2 linked regions of the Alligator mississippiensis genome follow. The protein of the gene in region 2 interacts with the protein of the main gene of each other region in a pairwise test. Links are inferred from orthologs where the notes say so. Each region holds a gene or a part of one and is shown on either strand. Other genes may lie near its edges.

Evidence for each region. The genes of interacting proteins can lie anywhere in the genome.
Region 1: the proteins of EXOC8 (region 2) and WASHC1 interact in binary tests that used the Homo sapiens proteins (3 or more experiments, as listed by UniProt). The link is inferred for Alligator mississippiensis from reciprocal best matches to the Homo sapiens genes EXOC8 and WASHC1.

The regions. Positions count from the first base shown.
Region 1 is NC_081827.1:115,294,825-115,302,704, forward strand, and holds the start of WASHC1 (WASH complex subunit 1), read right to left. Parts: upstream 3,009-7,880; 5' UTR 2,982-3,008; coding exon 2,903-2,981; intron 2,884-2,902; exon of another isoform or gene 2,770-2,883; intron 1-2,769. UniProt on the Homo sapiens protein: Acts as a component of the WASH core complex that functions as a nucleation-promoting factor (NPF) at the surface of endosomes, where it recruits and activates the Arp2/3 complex to induce actin polymerization, playing a key role in the fission of tubules that serve as transport intermediates during endosome sorting.
Region 2 is NC_081824.1:149,731,562-149,739,505, reverse strand, and holds the start of EXOC8 (exocyst complex component 8), read left to right. Parts: upstream 1-4,937; 5' UTR 4,938-5,152; coding exon 5,153-6,727; intron 6,728-7,620; coding exon 7,621-7,944. Other genes in the region: DNA-dependent metalloprotease SPRTN, read right to left, coding at 237-507, 1,192-1,320, 2,818-2,917, 4,442-4,686. UniProt on the Homo sapiens protein: Component of the exocyst complex involved in the docking of exocytic vesicles with fusion sites on the plasma membrane.

The sequences.
Region 1 (7,880 bases), on a different chromosome or scaffold from region 2:
TAAACACATATCATATCAAGCAGACTGAAAGACCCCCGGTCATCCTTTCCAAATCACAACAGCTGAAGCAGAGCATGAGAGGCTAGTAATACCAGAACAAAATCCATGCAAAGGGACACGACAATGCAGTAAGTTTCTTGAAGGAGACACCAAAGTTAGTTTGCTTCTAGACCTTGCAGGGGGCCAAGGAAATGATTTCTAGTCTGTTCCAGAGCAATCCCTGCGCTCTTGGAAGACCAAATGTTTCAAGGAGTTGAAACAGATACAGAGCCTCTCAGTTTCCCTTTTTTCAAGACACTTTCACCAAGACTCCAAGTCATTACCAATGATGGCTGCCAGGCAGTCTAAGTGAAAGGGGCAGACGCTTCCTCAACCTGACAAAGGGCTTTTGTGCCTAAAAGCTTGCTAAGAAGAATTTTTCCAACTATTTGAGTGGGCTAATAAAAGATATTGGATTTACCCAAAGAACTTTGTCTGCCTAGGGGCTTGTGGTCTCACTCCAGCCTGTAGCTGAGGAACATTTACATCATGTGAAGCACAATGACAGCATGCGCCAATGGGAACCTTGGTTGGTACAGCAAAAAGACAAATGGGTTGGGAGAACCAGCTTATTCTTCCTTAAAGTACACAAGTTTTACTATTTGAAGAACAATTGCAGTGCTGTAGGAGAGATAACGGCACTGAACATACCAACTATTCTGCCAGGAAAGGCTCAAGCATTGTAAAAGTGCTCAGCATTTAAGTCACTTTATAAAACCTCATCACGAAAGGTTTGTGCACGTGGAGAGGAGGGAGATGATGGACTGTGCTTAGTACTAAGACTCGACAGCCCTTTTTTTTTTTTTTTTTTTTTTACAGTATTCATTATGCTGGTCAGCAGTGCCCCTCTGCATACACAGCCAGGTTCAATACCACTGCAATTTTATCACCGTTGGCTGACTCATTCTTCATTTTGAACATCAGAGAATTTTAGTACAATAAATGTATTTCACCACAACAGCATTTGTGTTCATTTTACAAACATTACCAATGCATTTTTATTTGACAAATAATTGCCCCTCCACAGCTAACCGTGACAAGAGCAGTGTGTATTTTAGTCAATGGTTTGAAATAGTCCTTTAAGCACAATGCACATTTAACATCAAAATTTGTATTGTAACGTGTGTGTGTGTGTGTGTGTGTGTGTGTGTTGAATAAGAATTAATTATTTTGATGCAATGCAGAAATAAAAGTTAAGTTTTGCATAATCTAGTGGCATTCTTCCTATTAGCTGACTGGTTAGGAGCAACTGCTTGACATACAGATGAATAACTATTCTGGAAAATTATACATCACAATGCTAATGCAAACTAGCATCTGACTTTCTGGATAATGACAACTTAACTAGCTCACAGCCTGCAGTCCCTTCCCTTGTCCCTCTCTACCTCCCACCCTTCTGGGCTTTTCCTTGGTAGACTGCATTCCTGACAACCTGTTTCAGATCGATTTCCTTCTCTACTATGATGAACATACACAAATCACAATACAAATACCCTTCAGCTTTCCTCATTCCAGGGGTTCCGCAAAAGCCTCACTTCCCACACACAAACTCCAACTCAAAGCTGTGACACCGCATTGCACCCACTATAGGGTTTAAAACAGTAGACTTCACAATTCATTTCTAAGGAATGAAAAATGGGATGTAACAAAGCATGTTCAAAATTGGTCATCCAACCAAACAGGTTACACTGAATGAATCTTAGCACTATTTCATATTACCAGGCATCTCTAAGGCTCAAAGAAATCATAGATATGCCAAGTCTATCACAGCTAGAAGGCATTTTGATTCTATGTAAGACATGTTAGAGCTTAAAACAGTTTGTTAAATACACTCCTAGTGCCCTGTCCATAGCTCTTTGCTTGCCTCAGATCCAACAGGGAGGTAATGTTTTAGTTCTGTGGCACCTTTTGTGCTGGAAAGTCCCTTCAAAATGTTCCCTATCCCCAAGGAAATGTGATCACTGTGCAGGAGATGATAGTGCCTATGGCTCTGGGGAGAAGGCCAAAAGCCTGCTGAATGCAGCGGTGCCAGGCACCGGGTCAGTCTGAGGCACTTAACCGGATTCGCATTCTCAACCTCTATGTCTCCCCTTCCTAGAATGAGACTCTAGTTTCAAGGGTTGTAAAGAAAAGCCTTCCAGCCTGGAGGCAGGCATGAGCCCAGGCGGCACTGAGGCAGCGTTATCATCCACCTGTCCTTGAAGACCGCCTGGACCTGCTAGCTTGGAAGGCATCCTCCCTTCGCTGCAGTGTCCCAGTATTGCTGCCACATCGCTCCCTCGCTCTTCCATCAGAGCAAGGGGCACAGGCACTGAGACCCTCAACCCCTCCCGCTTGCAGAGGGAGAGACCAGGACGCAGAGCGCCAACGCCACCTGCCCAGGCAGAAGCAGGGCACTGGTCTCCTAGCATGAAGGTCACTGCTGCAGCCTGAGAGCTGGCCCTTCATGAACCTACGTGGCATGAAGGAGCACGGGCACAGGATGACTGCGTGAACAAGGAGCCAGGGCAGCCGTACATGGGCCTGACGTATGCCCACAAGTGCCCACAGGCATGCGCGCCACCACACACCCAGGCGTGTGCACACATGAACCCACGCATGCTCGCACACATGTGCATGTTCTCACGCACCCACGCATACCCACAAACATGCTCGTGCACACACGCACCCACGGGTGCTCAGACATGCGCGTGTGCGCACGCGGGGGCACACGCGCACACGTGTGCACACCTGCTCATCCTGCCACGGGGTCTTACACCGGCGGCAGCAACAGGCAGCGGCCGGGCCAGGGCGCCCCCCGCAGCGCAGGGGGCCCAGCCGCCCGGGGGAACGCAGCGCCGCACCTCCTCTCGCAGCGCCTCACCTGCCACGGGCGGGACACGCCCCCTCCCCCGCTGCTCGCCCCAGGACCCGGCGGGGAAGCTACCCCCTCCGGCGTTCATTCACTTCCGCCCCAATGAAGCATCACTTCCGCCCCTACTTGGCATCACTTCCGTTTGCGCCTAGGTCCCGCTTCGTTCTAGAACGGTTCCCTCCTCTACAGGCAGGCAGCGTCCCGCAGTGCGCAGGCGTGATTTGGAACGCGGCGGCTTGGCGGTTGCTGGGCTATTCTGCCAGGGGAGGGGGCAGCTTGCTAGTGGGAGCATGGGGCAGGCTGGGGCTCTTTGCCCTGGGCAGCTGCATCGCCCCCCCTCCCCCCCCCCCCCCAGCAGTGTTGCCAGCATTCACGAGCTGGCCCCTGCAGGGAGCAAGGGTCTTATGGGTTTTGTGGCAATATTTACTGTACTGAGCCCATGCAGCAAGTGCTATGGCTGCTCCTAGTGCTAACACCTTGAAGGGCCTGAGAGGACCACACTGTGCTCCAGAGCCGCGCGTCCCACCTGCTGCCTTCCTCCACAACTTGGGAATGCTGCTGATGCGTGCCTCGAGGTGCACCGTGGCCATACCAACTGCTGGCAAAAGTTCTGCCAAACTGCCTGTGCACCTCTGCACGCTCATGGCACACAGTGCAGCTCTGCTTTGCACCGTGACCTCTGGAATAGCTGGTACCCAGTCCAGGAGTATCTATCTACATGGTGGCAGCGGAAGCCTCGCTCTGTGCTGCAGAGAGGCTGTGCCACCGCAGACTGGCTTTGAGCCAGAACTCGGGAGTTTTGCTGGCAGAGCTCTTGTTGTGGAGAAGAGTCACCTGCCCATGCTTCCCTATCGTAACACCCTTCTGCTTAGCTGTAACGAAAGGGAAGGAGGTCACGGTCCCCTTGGCCTGGTTGCAACCCTCAGGCTGACAGCTTCTACCTTGACAGGACGTCCCTTATAACTAGGGTAGCCATACATCCCAGTTTGGCTGGGACAGTGCTGTATTTTGTAGGTCCTCTTGGCATCCCAGCCGGTTGGTGAAATTGAAACGAAAGTCCTGGAATCGGCCACCTAACATGATTGCTTCTTTCTCTGCTGACTCTACTGAGCATGAGTATACAGCAGCAGAGCCAGCCTTAGGGAAAAGGGTGCCCTGGGTGAACTTGTACTTTGGAACCCCTTTCCTCCCTCCTCCACCCAGGTCAGCAGCGCTGCTGCAGGCTTGGGCATGCGGTGCAGTCCAGAAGGAAGGTAGGCAGGCATTGTTGCTACTGTGCAGGAGCAAGGTGTGCAGACTGCCTCAGGTACCACCCGGCCCACACGTTCCCTGCTTGGCTCCTGAGCAGCATCTGGAGGTGCAGGGGGTCAGCTAGAGGTAGGGGAGCAGGCCAGGCTGGGCACTGCTCCAGTTTGCCCATCTTGCTCCAGCACAGCAGCAACCTGCCTGGCACACCATGCCACTCTTTCACTTGGTTTTCTTTAAAATAATATGGTCATCATGCCTATAGCCATCCTTTGTGTTTACATTGCCAACCTTGCTTCTGGATGCCTTTCTGCTTCTCTCTGTCTCAGCTTTGGGGAAAGATGAGAAAGAAGGAATATCTGGCTTGTGCCTTTGCCTCATCTCCCACCAATGGACCTGGGTGATATTATACTGCCTTTTAAAAGTGATGAACATTTGTTCAAATATTTTAATGAGTTTTCATTGGTTATGCTTGCTCCCTTTTCACATAGACACAGAAAGGAAACCTATCTGAGCAAACAGTGTTTGCTGGCACAAACATTCTTGAAAACTGAATCTCAAAGCGGTATGTGCAAATATTAATCATAATGAAGTTTGAGGGTCCATGTGCAAGTCATCCTGCCAGAGGTGTCTGCATGCACATCTAGGATCAGAAACAATTCCATGCGTCTTATCTAACTGGTTACAACTTAATCAGTGCTATTTGAATAGCAAAGATTAAGTACTACCAAGAATGGTTGATGCATAGATTTAAAGCCAATGCACAGAAAGCAACACCCCCCCCCCCACACACACGGATTACTCAAATAATTTCAAATTGTGAATATATTTAAGGAAATCATGATCTGCTCATGCATATTCACAGGGAAAAGGCTAAATTCATTACATAAATTACTTACTGCACATTTTTCACACTGTTCCACTCATTTGCGGTAGGAACCATTGTCATGAACATTTGTTGCAGGCTAAGGCAGAGAGCATTATTAAATATGATGAAATTGCAAAGCAAATTAGCAGCCAGCAGCCTAACATTTCATGAGCCCACGAGAGGTTAAGTGCAGTGCTGGTGCCTGTGAAGTCTTAATGAGGGGACCAGGCCACTGACCTGTGTAGAGCTTAAAGGGTACTGAAAGGACAAGGAGATAGGGCACAGGGTGAGACTGGGTGAAAATCTCGGAGACGAAGAAGTTATGAGAAATGTAAAAGTCTGCCAGAAACTATGCAGAGAAGGAAAGCAATAAGACCTAGCAGAATCTGAGCAAGGAGCATGTGTGTGGGTGTCAAGACCTGTCAGAAACAGAATAGGGGAGCGGATGTAGAAGCAGCAATCCAATCTATTCTGATCCATTTTTATTTATATACTGCTGATGGAAAGCCCTTCAAGTGCTTTACAATTACTCAGATAAAAATTCAATTCAATACACTCTGGAAATTCAAAGCAAAGAGAGAGGAGGTGGGTGCTGGGTTGGGGCAGCCCCACAGAGAATGAGAGAAGAAAGGTAGTAACAGACCTGCTGCAGGCAGATGGCAGAGAAAGAATTAACAGAATTGGGCTGATAAAATGAAGACTGAGAACCCCAGTATGCCCGGGGGGGGGGGGGGGGGGGGGGGGCAAGAGAGCAGTAAGACTGGGGTCTACTAAGAACTGGTAGCAGGATTGGCATAATCCCAGTAAAACACTGGTGGCAGGTAGGAAGTAATAATATATTTATCTCCACTACTGATTATGTATCAAAAACCTACCCCCTGGAGACAAGGCTCAGGGAACTGGAAGATATGTTTGGACTGGGCCATTAAAAAAATCTTGAGGCAAATGAGAAAAGCAGCTGTTTTACCAGCATTTAATTCAGCTAAAAAAGCAAGCTGACAGGGCTCACATCTGTCTTACTTCATCTCTCTACCCACACAATTTGTCAGCAGATAGAGTGGCATCACTCTCAGCCAGTGAAACAATGGATAAAAATCCATATCTCTCCAGAACAATTTTCTTTGACTGTTTAATGCTCCTGAGGACAGGACCCAGTTACATAAACTGGTACAGAGAGCTGATTAATCCAGCTACAGGCTTCATTCTTCCTGCCAGTACTCCGCATTGGCAAATTTGAGTAAACAAAATAAAAATTGGATAGTATATTGTTCTTTTCCCTGATTAAGGGCATAGTACTGCCCATTGTTTCATAAAATAGGTAAGATATAGAGAGCTCCCTCTCCCTGTGCAATCAACAGGGCCTACTTTTTCTAGAGTGCAAGGAGGTAGGTCTAGCTAATTTGCCAAACCATGCATCACATCCCTGAAAGGGCATTGTCTGTAGGCTAGAGAGTATGTCTGGGCTGGCGTTCAGTCAGCTACTGCACAAGATGACACCCACAGGACACAAGAAGAGCAGGCCTACTATTTGTAATTTGGGGAGCTGTAAATAGCACCTAACACAGTGCATTGTGACATGCTTTTTCAGCCATCTCACTGCTAGTGGCAGAGTGCCCTTAACCTGTTTAACAAAACCAGATGTTTGGCCTGATTCTCCAAGTTGGCTGTCCTTATGCTTTGCCTGCTGTGGCTTGTCAGAAACAGAAGCCTAACTGGGCGCAAGTGGCTGATCTGGAGAAGCTAAAGGGGCACTTAGATTTCCCCATGCTTTTTCAGTACTTTCAAAGCTCTCGCTATATAATTATCTACAGGTCTTAGTCTGTCTGCTGGAGTCTCCATTACAGTAATATTTAAACACTTTCACAGAGTCCAGAGTACTTACAATAGACTGGGCTTTTTCCCCCTGTAAGCTTGACTCACTACTGATATCTATACAGAAATCCATCATTCATTTATACTTCTATCATAGACATAAACTCATGTTTAAAAAACAACACTTGCAATTCATTTGGACAATTTTTCATTTTTGTGAAACTGTACCCTTAATCTAGGAAGTTTTTTCCTAGGTAAAAAATATCAAATAGCTGAGCACCTTGTTTAATTTGTTCTTTCTGGTGCTGCAATGTCCCTTAGCAAACACAGCCACATTCAGCAAGTAATACATACTTCTGTTTTCTCAGCTGAAAAATATGAATAATATTGATCAACCTTTGAGTTCTGACCATGAAGAATCTCCATCTTTGGAAATTTTCAAGCGTAGATTGCACCAACACTTGGCTGGGATGGTTTAGTTAGGGACAATTTTCCTTGAGCAGGGTACTGGACTAAATTCCCTTTCAGTCCTACTTTCTTGTATCCTATGAGATCTTCAGCCTGAAAAGTGCCAAGTGCTATTGTTATACGTTGCACCAAGTTTTAATAAGAGAACTCCAGCAACTGAAAAGAAGGTGTGGAAAAGGAAGGTAAGCAGAACTTTGGGTGTGTGCAGGTACATGTATTTTTTGGAGGTGACTCAAGTTTCTCCTGATCTGTTGAATACCACTTGCCAAATTGTAACAAGCTGATTCTCACCTTTGCACAGGGTCAGGCCAAAGCCAGAAAACAGATCAGCTTTAACTGCAGAATTCCCTGCAATTTGAAATTTCTTCAGATCTGAGGTTTGGAACTGAACTAGCCTGATAGTCAGGGATGTTTGGACCTCAGGCTTTGATTCAGGCCCAACACTAATTTTCCCCATACGGTAACAGACATAAGAATGGCTTACAATAAATGGGGAGCTCTTCCTAGTTCTGTTCCCTAATCAGTTTTGGATAGGTAGCATTTCCCTTTAATGCATAGTATTTCTCAGTACATGCTTCCATAATAGTGGGATCA
Region 2 (7,944 bases):
GAAAGCTGATTTGTTATCTGTAATACCACCAAATAAGAACATCATAGGCAGAGCCAGAAATCTAAATTTTCTTTATCTGGTCCCTGTCAGAGCTAAAGCAAGGATCACTCTGCACAACTGTACCAGCTTTTTAATGCTAGCATAGCACTATCTACTTATTCATCTATTTATGTTCACCTGGATACTATACCAAGTAGGAATAGTTTTGAAGAAGGAAAGCAAAGTAAGTTAAGTACCTTTATCGTCAGATGGTTTGGAGCTTGAAAGTTTTCCTGGCTGGGTTTTTTCCTTGCCTTTTTTAGAATAGTTCTCTGGCTCTTTCACTTTTGTGAATGTGCCTCCACAGGATTCTTGGTGCTCTACCCACCAGAAGTCTCTTGCAGAGGGTGCCCTATTCATTGAACGTTTCACATACCCAAAATAAGGCTTTTTATTTTGACATGGGCCATTGCATCGCCACCAATGTTGGCGATATAAATCCACCTCATCATGGAAGTTGTGATGGATCTAAATGTAAAACAGGAAGTCAAGTCACAATGTTTATTCCCATTTTATAAGAATCATCCGCTATATGTATGTCACCATCTCTACATGCATAGTGTTAATATCATCTCTCAATTCCTTGGTGATGGGCATAAGGAAAATGATCATGCACGACAGGGTTGAAGCAAGGCACAGAGTTCAGCTGCTAACAGCATGCAGCACGCATGGAAGCCATTTTTAACATGAAACAAAGTCTTTCCTCAAAAGTCAGCATCTTTAGATTTAAAAATTCTCGTTAATACTACATAAAGATCATTTATCCAATAATCTCTCAAACAACTTCTTAAAACAAAGCAAACCAGCCTTTCTTTTTCAAAACTGAAGGGCTTTTTCTTCAGAGTTCATAAGGCCACTTCAAACCTAAAAATGAAAATAATCTCTGGAGCCATTCTAACTGAAGAATTGCATGTTCCCAGCCAAATACACAACAGAGTTCAGGCAAGTGCAAAGCCCCACCAACCTCAACCTACATTTCCCTTACGATGCAATGAATACACATCCACCCAAGGTTACAGTTTGGCTACAGAAATGCCTATATATCAGTCATGGTAATTCAGGAATATGTAAATACATAATGCTTGAACTGCCAGATAGACAGACAGAGTTTAAATCTGCTAGATAGCATTTTGTTAACTGTAAAGCACTTACTGTAACATTGGCTCCAGTCAAGCGATTGATGCGACGCATGTGCTTACGGAACTCTGGCCCGTGAGAGTCACGGTCTCGGTCATCGTTAGTAACGAACAGTAGAGCGTGAATCATCTCATGTAATAGAGTCTGAAATAAAAAAGCAACTGCTGATGTTTCTTGAAAAAAAAAGTATATTATTTAAAATATAGCTTATAGGTTGGTTTTCCCATTATTTTTTTATACTTATTTTGGTAATGAATCCTATTTCTATGAATCTACAACTTAAGTATGGGGTCAGGAACATACTACAATACTTCTCTAAACTGCCAAACCCACAAAGTTTCTCTCCGTATGACCCAAAGGGCATTCTAAGGAACCGTACTGTGAGAAACGATATCCAAACTTTGCCTACCTTCCCATGGGTTTTTTTTTTTTTTAAATACTTCACTAGGAAGGAGTGGAGTAGTTGCAAGTAGTAGATACAAACATTTTGCAAAACTTCTTATCACTAGTCTACATCTATGCCTATTTTCTAAGTGTCATAAACCCAAGTTGGTCCCTTAAGCTCCCCATATAAGGAATAAGGAGTTAGGTGCCTCAGAATGGAATTCCGCATAGCCAGTGCACTGAGCAGGCAGACACCAAAGGGTATGACACATGTAATACTTAAACCTATTTAAATAATGCAGTTTAAATCTGAAGCAGATAGGCATAAACCCTCTTAAACCTGTTTAAAGCTGCTTGGAAAACAGATGTTTCATTTGAGGCAGTCCTGATTGACCCAAGTCAAATCCCAGGGTAAGAGAGAAAGTACAGACCTTCCACACTACATTGCTGCTCAGTCACCAGAACAAACAGCCTGACAGGCTTGTCCCTGGAACAACTGGCAACTAACTCACATGAATTACTTTCAACTTAGTTACCACAGCATTGCCCTAGAAAAAAGTGTTTGCCTATCTTGTATCCTATACTTCACAAGTACTTGAAGTGGGACAGAGACTACATTAGGATCTTCTGTTCCATATCTTACATACTTCACAAGTACTTAAATAGGCTAACAAAAGGCAACATCTGTTTACATCCAAATAGTTCAAAGGGGAACCTGGAAAACCAGGGTAAAAAGAGGTCAGGTGTACCCCAGATCCAACTGTCCTGGGCTTTGACTCATAGCAGGTGCAGAACAGTAGTTTACACTCACAGCTTGAATGGCAATTAACTCTCATAAATTCTTAGCAGAGAGGCAAAGAACAGCATGAAGCTTACATTTATAGTCAAACCCCGCATCTTTGCTTTTGGGTAACTGGGCTGTTTGACCTAGAAGTAAAACTGAACTACTTTATTTTGCACTCTAAATGGCAGAGTAAACTTTTAAACAGTTGGAAGGAGCATTTCAAGAGCCAGAAAGCTAATTTGGGGGATTTTTTTGAAAGTTAAGGGAGTCAGAAAAGCATCAGTTTAAATAAAAGTTGTGACTGACAGATTAACAATTTACATGTTTAAACAACTAACAATAAAACACCAAACACAAGGTTCTTAGAAAACCAAAAGCTACTTCACAATCTACAAAGCACTGTGAATAAAGCCTCCCTTGCAAACTATCAGCTATCCTTTAACAGAGATAATAAGCAGTCAGTCTTAAAATACCTCTACAAGGTCCTTCCTTGGTCTTAGCTTTAACAACGGTTCACTTAGGCGGATGGAACATATTCCACCCCTTCCTTCGTAGCTGCACACGCCAGCACAGCTGAAAGAGAAATACAAACAGAACGTACAATTCCCATTTACTTTCATAGCTGGCAGAGCAGAGTTGAGAAGTAGATTTACAAATACTGATCCCTCTTAACATAGCTGAAGTAAGCTGTACTTGAAAAAGAGCTCTCCTTCAGATAACTATTCAACCTTGCTAAACTAAGAATCAAGTCCTTTCAAGTATTAAATCCTTTTACAGTACAGACTAGAAAAGGTCATCTTGGTAAGCACTATCAACCCCCCCCAACAAACAAACAAAAAACAACAATCCATGACCCACAATTTACTTGCTTCCATTTGATAACACTTGATTCAGAGTTAAGAACTTGAGACATACCATTTGTGCATTCAAAGGTGACCTGTTCTGTCTACAAACCAGCACTTTCATTTAAAAAACAACTCAGGCCTTGCACAGAACAGGAAACAGAAGCCCAAACCTGTTCTTTGCAGTGCAGATCTGCTGAGTGTTGCCCTTCGCCGAAATCTACAACTTTCTGCTGCTGCATTTAAAAAATAAATGCACCTCATAAAAACAGAGCAGACAGCTATGGCCCTGCTACAAAGACAGTGCAAGTACCAAAATCTCAAGCCTGACATGCAGTTTGGGAAAGATTTTGTACTTGGACCAAGTTTTACCTTGTGCGGATGTGGAAAACATAATGTCAAAAAAACCCAAAACCCCAAAAACTACTCTAGGTCTTTAAGGGGACCAAAGCAGAGCCAGGTGGCTGCTCCAACTCACCCCTGAGGAGCCAGCACTCAGACACAGCAGTGAGGACAAAGGAGCCAGGTTCCCAACAAAGCCTGGGGCTGCTGCTATTACTGCCAATAGACAGGAGTCCCAAAGCTGAGAAAGCCAGCAGGGAAGAGGCCAGGCATCAGGGCTGGGAGCATGGGCAAAAATAGGATTTGGAGAAGGGGGGTGCAGACACTGAGGTGCATAATTCTCTGGGTAAAAAGAAACTAGAAGCTTTCCCAACAGGCTTGGGGCCTGGGGCTGTGCTGTTCCACTTAACCAGAAGGGAAAAACCAGTACAGCTTCACTGGAACGTGCATCCATTTGCTATATCCCATGTTTTGTATACCCCGCCCCCAACGGAACGAATGAGGCAAAAAAAAACCAGGAGGCGGCATTTCTTTAGCCCCGTCCTCGAGAATTAACTGTCTGTCTCCTTCAGATCCATAACACAAAATCAAGCCAGCTTCAGCATCTATCATGGGATTGATTCCCACACCCAAGTTCACTATCACCTGAGCTCAGGAGGTCAAAACAGGACCATCCACGATTACCTCACCCCACCTGAGGGATGCATGGACGCACTCCAACGAACATTTTGAGCTAGCATTAAACAAATGACACGTGGCTAAAATTGGTTACAAACAGCCTGCCTGCGGGGGCCGTGAAGTGGGAGCTTCAGGTTGCAGCAGGAAGCCTTGCTGGCAAGGCAGGAAAGGGCCCCCGGGGCAGAGAGAGTGCGCGCGCACATATCGGGGTGCAAGCCCTCCCTCCCCCGCGTACAGCGTCATCCGCGAGCTCCACGACACCTCCACGGCCGCCAGCCGCCCCCAGAACAGCTCCTGGTTGAACTGCACGAAGAGGCCGTGCACGTCCGGACTCGGGTCCAGCAGCTCCCAGGACTCGTCCACTACGGAGAGGGGCCGCGCGGGCGGCTCGGGGCGGGCGCCGGCCGCTACCTCCTTCTCTTCTTCCCCCGCCTCCCACTGCGCCTGCAGGTGCAGCGCCATCAGGAAGTCCGCGTCCATGATACCGCGGCAGCCGTTCCATGCGCCCGGCTCTCACGACCGTTGAGGCGCTTGCTGTGCGCAACTGCGCATGCGCAATCCGGCACGTAGCCCCTCCCAGCTCCAACCCCGCCGTTAGTGCATGCGCAATGCAGTCTACACAACCTTCCACCCACCCCTGCCGTTGGCGCATGCGCATCCCTCCCTACCCGCCCCCCTCCGCCTTCAGCACATGCGCATCACCCCACTCACTGTATCGTTGGAAGCACGCCGCTGTGGCACATGCGCACTGCGCAGCCTCCCATTCCTCCGCGTCGCAGGGGAAGAAACGCCATTCTATCTGCGCGTGCTCTGTCAAATCGCCTGTGCCGGGTAGTCGCTCCTTAGTGCGCATGCGCCTAACGTCAAAAGAGCGCGACTATCGTCGCGGCGGGACGCATGCGCGGTGGTAGCGTCTGGCGGCCCGTGGCGGGCGGCGGGTGAGGCCATGGCGCTGGCGCTGGGCGAGGGCGGGCTGGCGGCGGGGGGCGGCGGCAGCAGCAGCAGCAGCAGCAGCGGGCCCGGGAGCAGCCGGCTGCGGCGGCAGCTGGAGTTGGGGAGCTTCGCGGCGGGTGAGTACGTGAAGCAGCTGTCTCAGCAGTCGGACGGCGACCGGGACCTGCAGGAGCACCGGCAGCGCATCCAGGCGCTGAGCGAGGAGACGGCGCAGAGCCTGAAGCGCAACGTCTACCAGAACTACCGGCAGTTCATCGAGACAGCGCGCGAGATCAGCTACCTGGAGAGCGAGATGTACCAGCTCAGCCACATCCTCACCGAGCAGAAGGGCATCATGGAGGCTGTCACCCAGGCCCTGCTGCTGCAGGCCGACCGCGACGACCCCGCGCTGGGTGCCCGCCGTGCCGCCACCGACTCTCGCGTCAACAACCCCTTCCTGCCCCTGTCGGCCAAGGAGGTGGCGGCCAGCGAGGAGGGCCGGCAGCGCACGCTTACCACGCTGCTGGAGAAGGTGGAGGGCTGCCGGGATCTGCTGCCCGAGAGCCCCGGCAAGTACCTGGTGTACAACGGGGACCTGGTGGAGTATGACGCTGACCACATGGCGCAGGTGCAGCGAGTGCACGCCTTCCTCATGAATGACTGCCTGCTGGTGGCCACCTGGTTGCCCAACCGGCGTGGTGCCTACCGCTACGACGCCCTCTACCCGCTGGACGGGCTGGCTGTTGTCAACGTCAAGGACAACCCGCCCATGAAGGACATGTTCAAGCTGCTCATGTTCCCTGAGGGCCGCATCTTCCAGGCTGAGAACGCCAAGATCAAGAAGGAGTGGCTGGAGGTGCTGGAGGAGACCAAGCGGAGCCGCGCCCTGAGCGAGAAGCTGCGGCTGGAGCAGGAGGCTCTGCCGCGAGCAGCCCTGCCCTCTCCAGAGTCATCCAACCCCTTCGAGAAGGATGAGGATGAAGTGGAGCCTCCACCTGAGGAGGAAAAAGTGGATCTGTCCCTGGAGTGGATCCAGGAGCTTCCTGAGGACCTGGATGTCTGCATCGCCCAGAGGGATTTTGAGGGTGCAGTTGACCTGCTGGATAAGCTAAACGAGTATTTGGCAGACAAGCCCATCAGCCAGCCGGTGAGGGAGCTCCGGGCGAAAGTGGATGAGAGAGTTAGGCAGCTCACGGATGTGCTGGTGTTTGAGCTCTCTCCAGATCGCTCACTGCGTGGTGGGCCAAGGGCTACCCGCCGGGCTGTCTCTCAGCTCATTCGCTTGGGTCAATCAACCAAGGCTTGCGAGCTGTTCTTGAAGAACCGGGCGGCTGCTGTGCACACGGCCATCCGTCAGCTGCGCATTGAAGGTGCCACTCTGCTGTACATCCACAAGCTCTGCCACGTGTTTTTCACCAGCCTGCTGGAGACTGCCAGGGAGTTTGAGACAGACTTTGCTGGTAACAGCGGCTGCTACTCCGCCTTCGTTGTGTGGGCACGCTCTGCCATGAAGATGTTTGTAGATGCCTTCAGCAAGCAGGTGTTTGACAGCAAAGAGAGCTTGTCAACTGCTGCTGAATGTGTGAAGGTAAGCACGTATAAGAAAGGCAGCACAGTCCAGTCGATTGAGCAGAAACCTGGAATTCTGCAGCCCTGGATGTCTCGTTCTCTCTCAGCTAACTTACTGTTTTTGGGCAGGAGGTGGTAAAACAGATTCACCTATAGCTTCCCTTCTTTAGTAAAGGGAGGGTGTGGAGGGCTTTGCATTGCCTTTCTTCTGTTTGTGTTTTGCCCCACTATTATCAGAAATGCTGGTTTTGGCCTTACTTAAAAGAGTGGGAGTATTGGAACTTTAGCAAAGAATCCTTTTCTACAAAATATTTATTGGATTGGATTTGAATATGCCTTAACATAGGCTTTCAAGAAAAATACTGAACTCCTTTATTTCCCAGTTGCTAAACTGTGACATCTTTATCATAATTATGTTTCATAGTTGATAGGGTCGGAAGGGACCTGAGCAGATCATCAAGTCTGACTCCCTGCCACGAGCAGGAAAGAATGATGGGATCAAATGAACCCGGGTAGGCGATTTATCTAGCCTCCTTTTGAAGACCCCCAAGTTGGGAGCGAGCACCACTTCCCTTGGAAGTTGGTTCCAGATCCTAGCCGCCATGACTGTGAAGTAATGCCTCCTGATGTCTAGCCTGAATCTACTCTCAATCATTTCTGTAAAACACTACAGACATTTATGATAGACAGGATCTGTATTTCTGTCATTTAAAAAAGTTAGATACATAAGTTAAAGAGAGGCAGAATAAAGTGCAGTGTGTATTCTTTTCCAGACTCGTAATCACTGCCTTATTTTTCAGGTATGCAAATTAGGACTAAGAATTACCTATTTTTATGGGTGTTGGGGTGGTTAAGTAGCTTGTGTCTATGTGGCATATAGATAAGTATTAATAATGATGTTTGTTATTGTAGGTAGCTAAGGAGCACTGTAAGCAGCTTAGTGAGATTGGACTGGACCTTACCTTCATCATTCACACCCTGCTGGTGAAAGACATCAAAGGTGCTCTGCAGAGCTACAAGGATATCATCATTGAGGCCACCAAGCATCGCAACTCTGAAGAGATGTGGAGAAAGATGAACCTGATGACTCCCGAGGCTCTGGGAAAACTTAGAGAGGAAATGAGAAGTTGTGGTGTGGGCAGTTTTGACCAGTACACAGGTGATGACTGCTGGGTCAATCTTAGCTACACTGTGGTTGCTTTTACCAAGCAGACTATGGCCTTCTTGGAGGAAGCA